Callithrix jacchus: one gene and its partner. The protein of the gene in region 1 binds, or shares a complex with, the protein of each later gene. Links are inferred from orthologs where the notes say so. Each region holds a gene or a part of one and is shown in the gene's direction. Other genes may lie near its edges.

Region 1 (3,636 bases):
TTGGACTTGCTACTGTGGAGACTGATGTTTAAAGTTTATAACTGTATAAACATTTTCTATGTCCCCCCCACACCATGGATTTCTTATAACATTGGATATATTTTTCCTTGCTGGACTATTCTCTTTTGGATTGACTTCCCCTGTTTGGATTATTTCACTGCATTATCATCTTTAGGATTCGTCAGGAACAGGACATTTCACCTCAGGAGTACGGGTATGTACTTAATTTTTTTTTTTTTCCCAAAATTTCAGGGCAGGTCTATAAAACTTGGGGGAAACCTTTTTTGAAAGGCTAAACAATTATTCATTCTTGAAATGTAATAGTAAACGATGTAAGTAGCTGCGATTTCTGTTTTTATTCACTGTATGGCATAGGTTTTGCTTATAATATATTTAGATTGTCAGTCTCTTGGGTGATTCATAGACATCTAGGCTGAAGTTTGGGAATTGTGGGGGTTTAAAATTATTATTTCTATTGCAAGAATAAATATTGATGAAGATCCATGAAACCAAAGGTCTGTGTGTTAAGCAATGTCAATGAGTAAGGAAAGAAGTGACAGCAGAAGCTTCTTTAATTAAAAGACACATTTCAGTTCTTGGTGGTTTCCTTTTCTTTAGAAGCAGAAATAATTCAGATGAGCTAGTTTCTAGTTTTCCCTATAATTTTTAGAAGTTGTGTGCTAACTCACACTGTATTATGGTCAGAAATCTGAACTGTGGGAGATACTGGGTTTTGGCCCCACTTAATTTTCCACTTAACCTTTATTCACTGAGTACTGAACCAAGGCTTTTCTCATCAAGAATCTCTTAAGGGTTTAAAATAACAATGTATACTTTTTGCAAAGGCAGGTTAAATCTTGATTTTTATGTAGGCTCTTGGAATGTATTATTTTCTTTATAGTTTTTAACTCTTGAACTTCATGAGTTAAGATTCCCTGACAAATATATGCTAATAAATATTTTAGTACCAATATGGATGATCACTTGTAGCCAGTAAAACACCAAAATATATGGGTGACTTAAAAAAATATTGAAAATAAGCTTATAATACTGGTTTATTAATAGCTTTAACACAAAATCTTGGAAAATATAACATGAAAATTTTTTATTTAAAATAACTCACCATCCATCTATCCTACATTTGAAAGTTAGCGGGAGATACTTATTTCTTCCTTTGGTGCTACTTTTAATTCCACTTATGTGCTGCCATATTGGTGCAAAAACATTTTGGATTAGCTAGCAAAATAAATCTATATACCATCAAACAGAAGCAAACTTGCCCTCAGGGATAAAATATACCAATAATGTTTAATATTTTTATGAAAATTTTCTGGGTTCTCCCACTGATTATTTTCTTTTTACATTCTGTATTTGATTATGGACTTTGGGAGCAAGAGAGGGGACAAGAACAGTGGAAGAGCTAAACATTTCAATAACTCAAAGGTTTTCTTGACTGAGGCAAGTCAGAGTATTCAAAAGAATAAAGATAAGGCAGGTTTTGACCTTATAAAAAGGTTTTCTTTTTCACATATCCAAGAAATTGACTAAGACCTTAATGTTCTGAAATAAATTTCTAAGAGCCTACTTTACGTAATTTCTCAATTTTCATGGAAAATGTCTTTTTCAATAATAAACTAAAATAAAATCTTTTCACTGTAGACAATACTTATAGTCTCTGGAAAGTCTAATGAGCTCTGTGGTTGTAACTAGTTCTACTGACTGTCAGCATAAGTGAACAACCAGATGTTACATTAACCAATCTTACTAGAAAATCTTAGTCTCCCAGGCTGCTTCATGCCCTGTCACAATATGAATGGGCTTTTCTGACTTATAGGTCCATTTCCCTCCGTTTATACATGTCTACTTGTCTGTCCACCTCCATCATCACACCTTTTATTTGGTTGTGTGTTCTTCCTATCAAGGGATATATGTCTCATTTTTCTTTAGTTCAAAAGTTCCTCATCTGTTTATTTCTATTCCTTCCCTTTTTATTTTTATTTTGTAGCTGGTCATAATTTAGAATTAAGTATATTTCTATAGTTTTTTTATTGATTAGTTTTATTTTATTTAAGACACAAATGAGTAGAAAGCTATCTACTCCTTTAAGTAGATTAATTTAATTGAACTTTCCTTCAATATAGCCTTCAGTTGACTTTTTCCATGTCTCAATCATTCTTAATGGATAATATATTTTTCTCTCCTTGATTAAAACCTTGGAATATTTATTCAAATGAGGGAAATCTGGCCACATCGATGGTAATAGCTACTTGAGAAAAAAATATAGGACATTTTATCAAATTCTAGTTTTTCAAGAATTTCTTCAAATAATGATAGGCTCTGTTTATTGGAGATAATCAAATCAGTAGCATTTGTAGACCTAGAGTAAATAGCTCTTCTTTCTTTTAAGATATTGATTGCCAGATTTTTCAACAATGCTGCCCATCATTGACAGTTGTTCTGCTAAAAAAAAAAAAATGCAAAAGAGGCAAACTTTTATTTACTGCCATAGCAGTGAAAACTTTAAAATTTTAAAAATGTTTTTCTAGTTGTGCTTGCCTCCAGAATGTAGCCTTTCCCATGTGCCTGTCATATTTTGTATGCATGTCTGATTGTATTGCTTTATGGTTAGCATATATAGATTTTTTTCTCCGAGCATTTCTCATATAGTCTTAATCAGCAGTTCACCACTGTGAAGCATATGCACTTAACTCTTTCCATTCTAGAAGGTCTTTTCCCAAATGCAACCATGTTTCTGTACATGGTAGGAATTAAGTCATTACTCACAGGGTACTTGCCTAGATTCATATAACATTAATTATTCTTTCCCTTTTTTTGTACTGCAGGTCTTCCGACCTCGAACTCCACCAGAGGCGATTGCACTGTGTAGCCGTCTGCTGGAGTATACACCAACTGCCCGATTGACACCACTGGAAGCTTGTGCACATTCATTTTTTGATGAATTACGGGACCCAAATGTCAAACTACCAAATGGGCGAGACACACCTGCACTCTTCAACTTCACCACTCAAGGTAACTCCAAATACTTAGCTCTTTCACCATTTCTAGGAAAGCTACACACTGGGTGTGAAATGACATTCCATTAATTAAAATATGTGGAGGACAAAAATGGACATATTAAGTACTTATGAAGGTGAAAAGATTATTCTTTCTGATTTGCTGGCCACTACTTACATGGTTTTGAACAAAAGACTAGCACATAAAGAAGCTATGCCTATTGGAAAACTTTTAATTTTTAGCAGAATATAATGTTGGCACATGAGAAGTTACAGAGAATTCAGTGAGTGAAGTTTATCACTAATTGGATTGATGTACAATTTCATCTTTAAGTTTGGATCTGAAACTTAAAATAGTAGCATTTCTTGCTTCCGTAGAGTTTGGATCAATTTTTTAAACCTGGAAATGAATTGGTGGCTGTATTTGTATAAATTCAGTTGTCTTCCAAACAGGAGGAAAACTAGAATCCTATAAACCCTTTCTAAGAACTTACACAAACGATAGAGACAAGGAAGGAAATTTCCATCCCCTCTGAGACTTGGTACCATTGCTGCTGTTGAGAAAATATTGAAAAGAAAACTAACTCTGTGCATTGGTGGTTTCTGGGAGACCTTGGGGTAT
Region 2 (4,072 bases), on another chromosome or scaffold:
TACTAATTATTTTAATTTTAAACATTTAAATAGATCAGGCCTGGTGGCTCATGCCTGTAATCCCAGCATTTTGGGAGGCCAAGGCGGCGGATCACCTGAGGTCAGGAGTTCGAGAACAGGCTGGCCAACATGGTGAAACCCTGTCTCTACTAAAAATACAAAAATTAGCTGGGCATGGTGGCAGGTGCCTGTAATCCCAGCTACTTGGGAGACTGGAGAAGAGTTTGAACCCAGGAGGCAGAGGTTACAGTGAGCCAAGATCGTGTCATTGCACTCCAGCCTGGGCAAAAAAAATGAAACTTCATTCAACAAACAAACAAAAAAGACTAGTAACCTAGGCCGGGCGCGGTGGCTCACACCCGTAATCCCAGCACTTTGGGAGGCTGAAGTGGGTGGATCACCTGAGGTCAGAAGTTCAAAGCCAGCCTGGCCAACATGGGGAAACCCCGTCTCTACTAAAAATACAAAAATTAGTCCGGCTTGTGGTGGGCGCCTGTAATCCCAGCTACGCGGGAGGCTGAAGCAGGAGAATTGCTTGAACACAGGAGGTAGAGGTTATAGTGACTGGCGATCGTGCCACTGCACTCCAGCCTGGTTAACAGAGCGAGGCTCCTCCAAAAAAAAAAAAAAAAGACTGGCAACTTCCTTTTCTCCTCTCCAGCAACGCCAACCCCAGTCCAGGCCCCCATCGCCCAGGATCTCTATCAAGAAACAGTCATCTGTGGCCTTTCTTTGCCATTTCCAACTCTGCCACCCCCATTGCACGACAAGGTCCCCTTCTTCCTTTCCATTCCTGTCAGCTTCGTTTCTCTATAATCTCCGTACAAATCTCTAGCCTAACTCCTCTTCCTTTCCATCCTCTCCAGATGCCCGCCTGCTGGACCTCAAAAGCGCAAACGCTAAAAACCGGTTAAGTTGACGCAAGGAGAGAAGGGGTGTGTGGGTGGGTGTGTGTGTGTTAGTGTATGTGCTTGTGTGTGGAAGAAACCAACGGGGTCCACGCTGGTGTCCATTTCTGGAAATGCCAACAGCGCCCTACTGCGGGAGCCAGGATCAGGTCCCCAGGGCGCCCCTCCAGACAGCACCCTTAGCGAAGGAGCGAAGACGGCAGCCCTGCTTCACCCAGACCCCTAGTTCCGCAGGAGCTCCGCCCCACAGCGGCACAGCACCCCTGCCCCGGCGCGGTGGTAGGGCCCGGCACGACGTCACCCATTGTTTACAAATCAACTCGAGCCGGCAGGATTCCGGCTCCCGCGGCGGCAGGCGCGCGGCTCGAGTGCCTGGCGGGCTCCGGCTTCCGTGTCCGCCCCGGCCCGGGCTTCGGCCTCAGCCCCGCGCCCGCTCTGCCGCGGCCCACCGCGCCCACGGGCAGCTAAGCCTCCAGCGACGCCCGCACAGCTCCGGGTGCCCGGACAGGGGGCCATGCCCTGCCGGAGGGAGGAGGAAGAGGAAGCCGGCGAGGAGGCGGAGGGGGAGGAAGAGGAGGAGGACAGCTTCCTCCTGCTGGAGCAGTCGGTGGCGCTGGGCGGCTCGGGCGAGGTGGACCGGCTGGTGGCCCAGATCGGCGAGACGCTGCAACTGGACCCGGCGCAGGACAGCCCGGCCTCGCCGTGCGCGCCCCCGGGGGCGCCGCTGCGAGCCCCGGGGCCCCTGGCTGCAGCGGTGCGGGCGGACAAGGCCCGGCCCCCGGCAGTGCCGCTGCTGCTGCCGCCGGTGTCGATGGAGACAGTGGGCCCGGCGCCCCTTGGGGCCCTGCGCAGCACCCTGGGGGACCGCGGCCGCGTGCGGGGCCGCGCTGCGCCCTACTGCGTGGCGGAGCTCGCGGCAGGCCCCAGCGCGCTGTCCCCACTGCCCCCTCAGGCCGACCTTGATGGGCCTCCGGGGGCTGGCAAGCAGGGCGTCCCACAGCCGCTGTCGGGTCCGTGCCGGCGAGGATGGCTCCGGGGCGCCGCCGCCTCCCGCCGCCTGCAGCAGCGACGCGGGTCCCAACCCGAAACCCGCACAGGCGACGACGACCCGCACCGGCTCCTACAGCAGCTAGTGCTCTCTGGAAACCTCATCAAGGAGGCCGTGCGGAGGCTTCATTCTCGACGGCTGCAGTTACGTGCAAAGCTTCCTCAACGCCCGCTCCTGGGACCGCTGTCGGCCCCGGTGCATGAACCCCCTTCGCCTCGCAGCCCTCGCGCGGCCTGCAGTGACCCAGGCGCGTCCGGGAGGGCGCAGCCCAGAACTGGCGACGGCGTTCTTGTCCCTGGCAGCTAACACGCCTGGGGTGGTCACAGCGCCAGCCTCATACTGGAGGGCAAGGGGTTCCCCTGAGGGCTGCAGTTCTGCTCAGGCTGATGGAGAACTCTGGCTTTTGGAAGCGAGAGAAAAAAAGCTAATGATGAGGGACCGAAAAATCGCGAATGTTTCACGGGACACTGGGGTCGAAGGCCAAAATATTTGGAATGCAGGACTTGGCCCTATTTAAGGCAGATTTTACAGAGTGCACCCCAAGCTTAAAAGTCAGTAGAACTCCTTATTTGGCGTGACCCGACCTGGCCGCGGAGCCTGCAGTTCTGTGCAGCCTCTCAGTGCCCTCCAGCCGGCGACCATGTGGCCACAGCCCACGCTTCTCGGGATCGCGGTGCGCTGGAACCACGGAGGATGAGATGCCAGTTACTTGCTTTCACCTTTTCAGAGCTGGCTCCTGGTCCACTTTGTGGGAGGAAAACATGAGTGGATAATTTCAGGGTGCACCCCAATCTGCCGGACTTGAATATTTTCGACACTTAAAAAAAAAAACATCTTGTGTCTTTGGAGGTGCTGCTTAATATCAAATAGCCGGTGCCATGAAGGGACCCTTTGGGGATTGAATAGGAGTAACCCCCGCCCTCTCTTTGCAATTGTCTGCCTTTCTCAGAGTGGGAGGGAAGGCTGTACCACACAGGTGCGGACAGGAGGTGGGGGCGGGGGGTGCTGAATGGTGGTGGAAGGGTAGAATGAGGCGCGGGGTAAACCCCACGCCCTCTCTAAAGTGTATTTTCACAGCCGGCCTGCCTCTCCGAGGGTTCAAGGTCACTGTTTCCTGGGCACGCACTGGGTTGCGGGGCAGAGTAGCCGGGTTCTGCCCGTGTTCGGAGAAGAGCGCAGTATTTTGCAAGTGCTGGAGTCTCCTGAGGACACGCGCGCCGCCGCCACCGCGGGTGTGGGAAAGCGCGGACGTGCTGGGCGCCTGTGCTTCCCTGGGCGACCACCGCCCCTGGCCGAGGCCCCGGCTTTCACGGAAACTCGCTAGACGGAGTCCTGGGTTCCTCCTCTCCCCCTCGGCTCTGCTGTCCTACTCATTCGGTGGCGCAGGGATCCTGGGGGCCTGGGTTGGGGGCTAGGGATTCGTCATGTGATGGGCACTCCAGGGACACACAGCCTAGCACAGCAGCTTATAATGGGCTCTCCGGGGCCATTTGCAGTAACAGCTGCAATTCCCTGGATAGACGGAGTTGATTTCCTCCCTCTGCCCCTCCCCCAGTCATGCCAGCTGGCCTTTGTAAGTGCAGGAAACCGAGTAGAAAATGTGACCCTCCAAATGGAGAAGCTGCAGGCTTTGCCGTTGCGAACCATGGTGAAGTGCTTGGAACATACCGTTCGCTCATTGAAGGCGCTGGGACTGTGCTGTTGTTCTAGTTTTATAGTCAATGGCTTGTTCATCATCCAGATGTGGCTACTGACATATCTACACTTCGCACCGGAGTGTCTGGAGTTGTGGCTGTCCTGATTATAGGATTTTAACTTAACTGAAATGCCTGCTTTGAATAAATGCGTTGGGTTTTTTGTTTGGTTTTATTTTATACTTGCCATTGGTGAAAAAGATGTACAGAACACATTTCTCTGATCTCCATAAACATGAAAACACTTGAAAGCCCTGTCAGCCTGGCTTGCGGATGGTAATTAGAGCGCCTTTGTGTCTGAGCAGCTCACTAGCTAGACAAGGTCTCCGCAGCTGGGTGTGTATTGGTGCTGGCATGAAATTAAATGAAAGTGAGGTCAGGTTTTGGACCAATCCCATTCGTTAAAACCTCGGAGCCTTTTG

Evidence for each region. Proteins that work in one complex are often made in the same cells at the same time.
Region 2: the proteins of GSK3B (region 1) and FRAT1 are in contact, whole or in part, in a crystal structure (PDB 5OY4), measured with the Homo sapiens proteins. The link is inferred for Callithrix jacchus from reciprocal best matches to the Homo sapiens genes GSK3B and FRAT1. Residues at the interface, in NP_001139628.1 of Homo sapiens: Tyr216, Ile228, Phe229, Ser261, Gly262, Val263, Asp264, Leu266, Val267, Ile270, Lys271, Thr275, Pro276, Ile281, Tyr288, Thr289, Glu290, Phe291, Lys292, Phe293, Pro294, Ile296; in NP_005470.2 of Homo sapiens: His200, Leu202, Leu203, Leu206, Val207, Ser209, Gly210, Asn211, Leu212, Ile213, Lys214, Glu215, Ala216, Val217, Arg219, Leu220, His221.

What each region holds. Positions count from the first base shown.
Region 1 is NC_133516.1:82,946,572-82,950,207, forward strand, and holds part of GSK3B (glycogen synthase kinase-3 beta), read left to right. Parts: intron 1-175; coding exon 176-214; intron 215-2,843; coding exon 2,844-3,030; intron 3,031-3,636. UniProt on the Homo sapiens protein: Constitutively active protein kinase that acts as a negative regulator in the hormonal control of glucose homeostasis, Wnt signaling and regulation of transcription factors and microtubules, by phosphorylating and inactivating glycogen synthase (GYS1 or GYS2), EIF2B, CTNNB1/beta-catenin, APC, AXIN1, DPYSL2/CRMP2, JUN, NFATC1/NFATC, MAPT/TAU and MACF1.
Region 2 is NC_133513.1:90,146,503-90,150,574, forward strand, and holds FRAT1 (proto-oncogene FRAT1), read left to right. Parts: upstream 1-1,246; 5' UTR 1,247-1,422; coding exon 1,423-2,262; 3' UTR 2,263-3,814; downstream 3,815-4,072. UniProt on the Homo sapiens protein: Positively regulates the Wnt signaling pathway by stabilizing beta-catenin through the association with GSK-3. May play a role in tumor progression and collaborate with PIM1 and MYC in lymphomagenesis.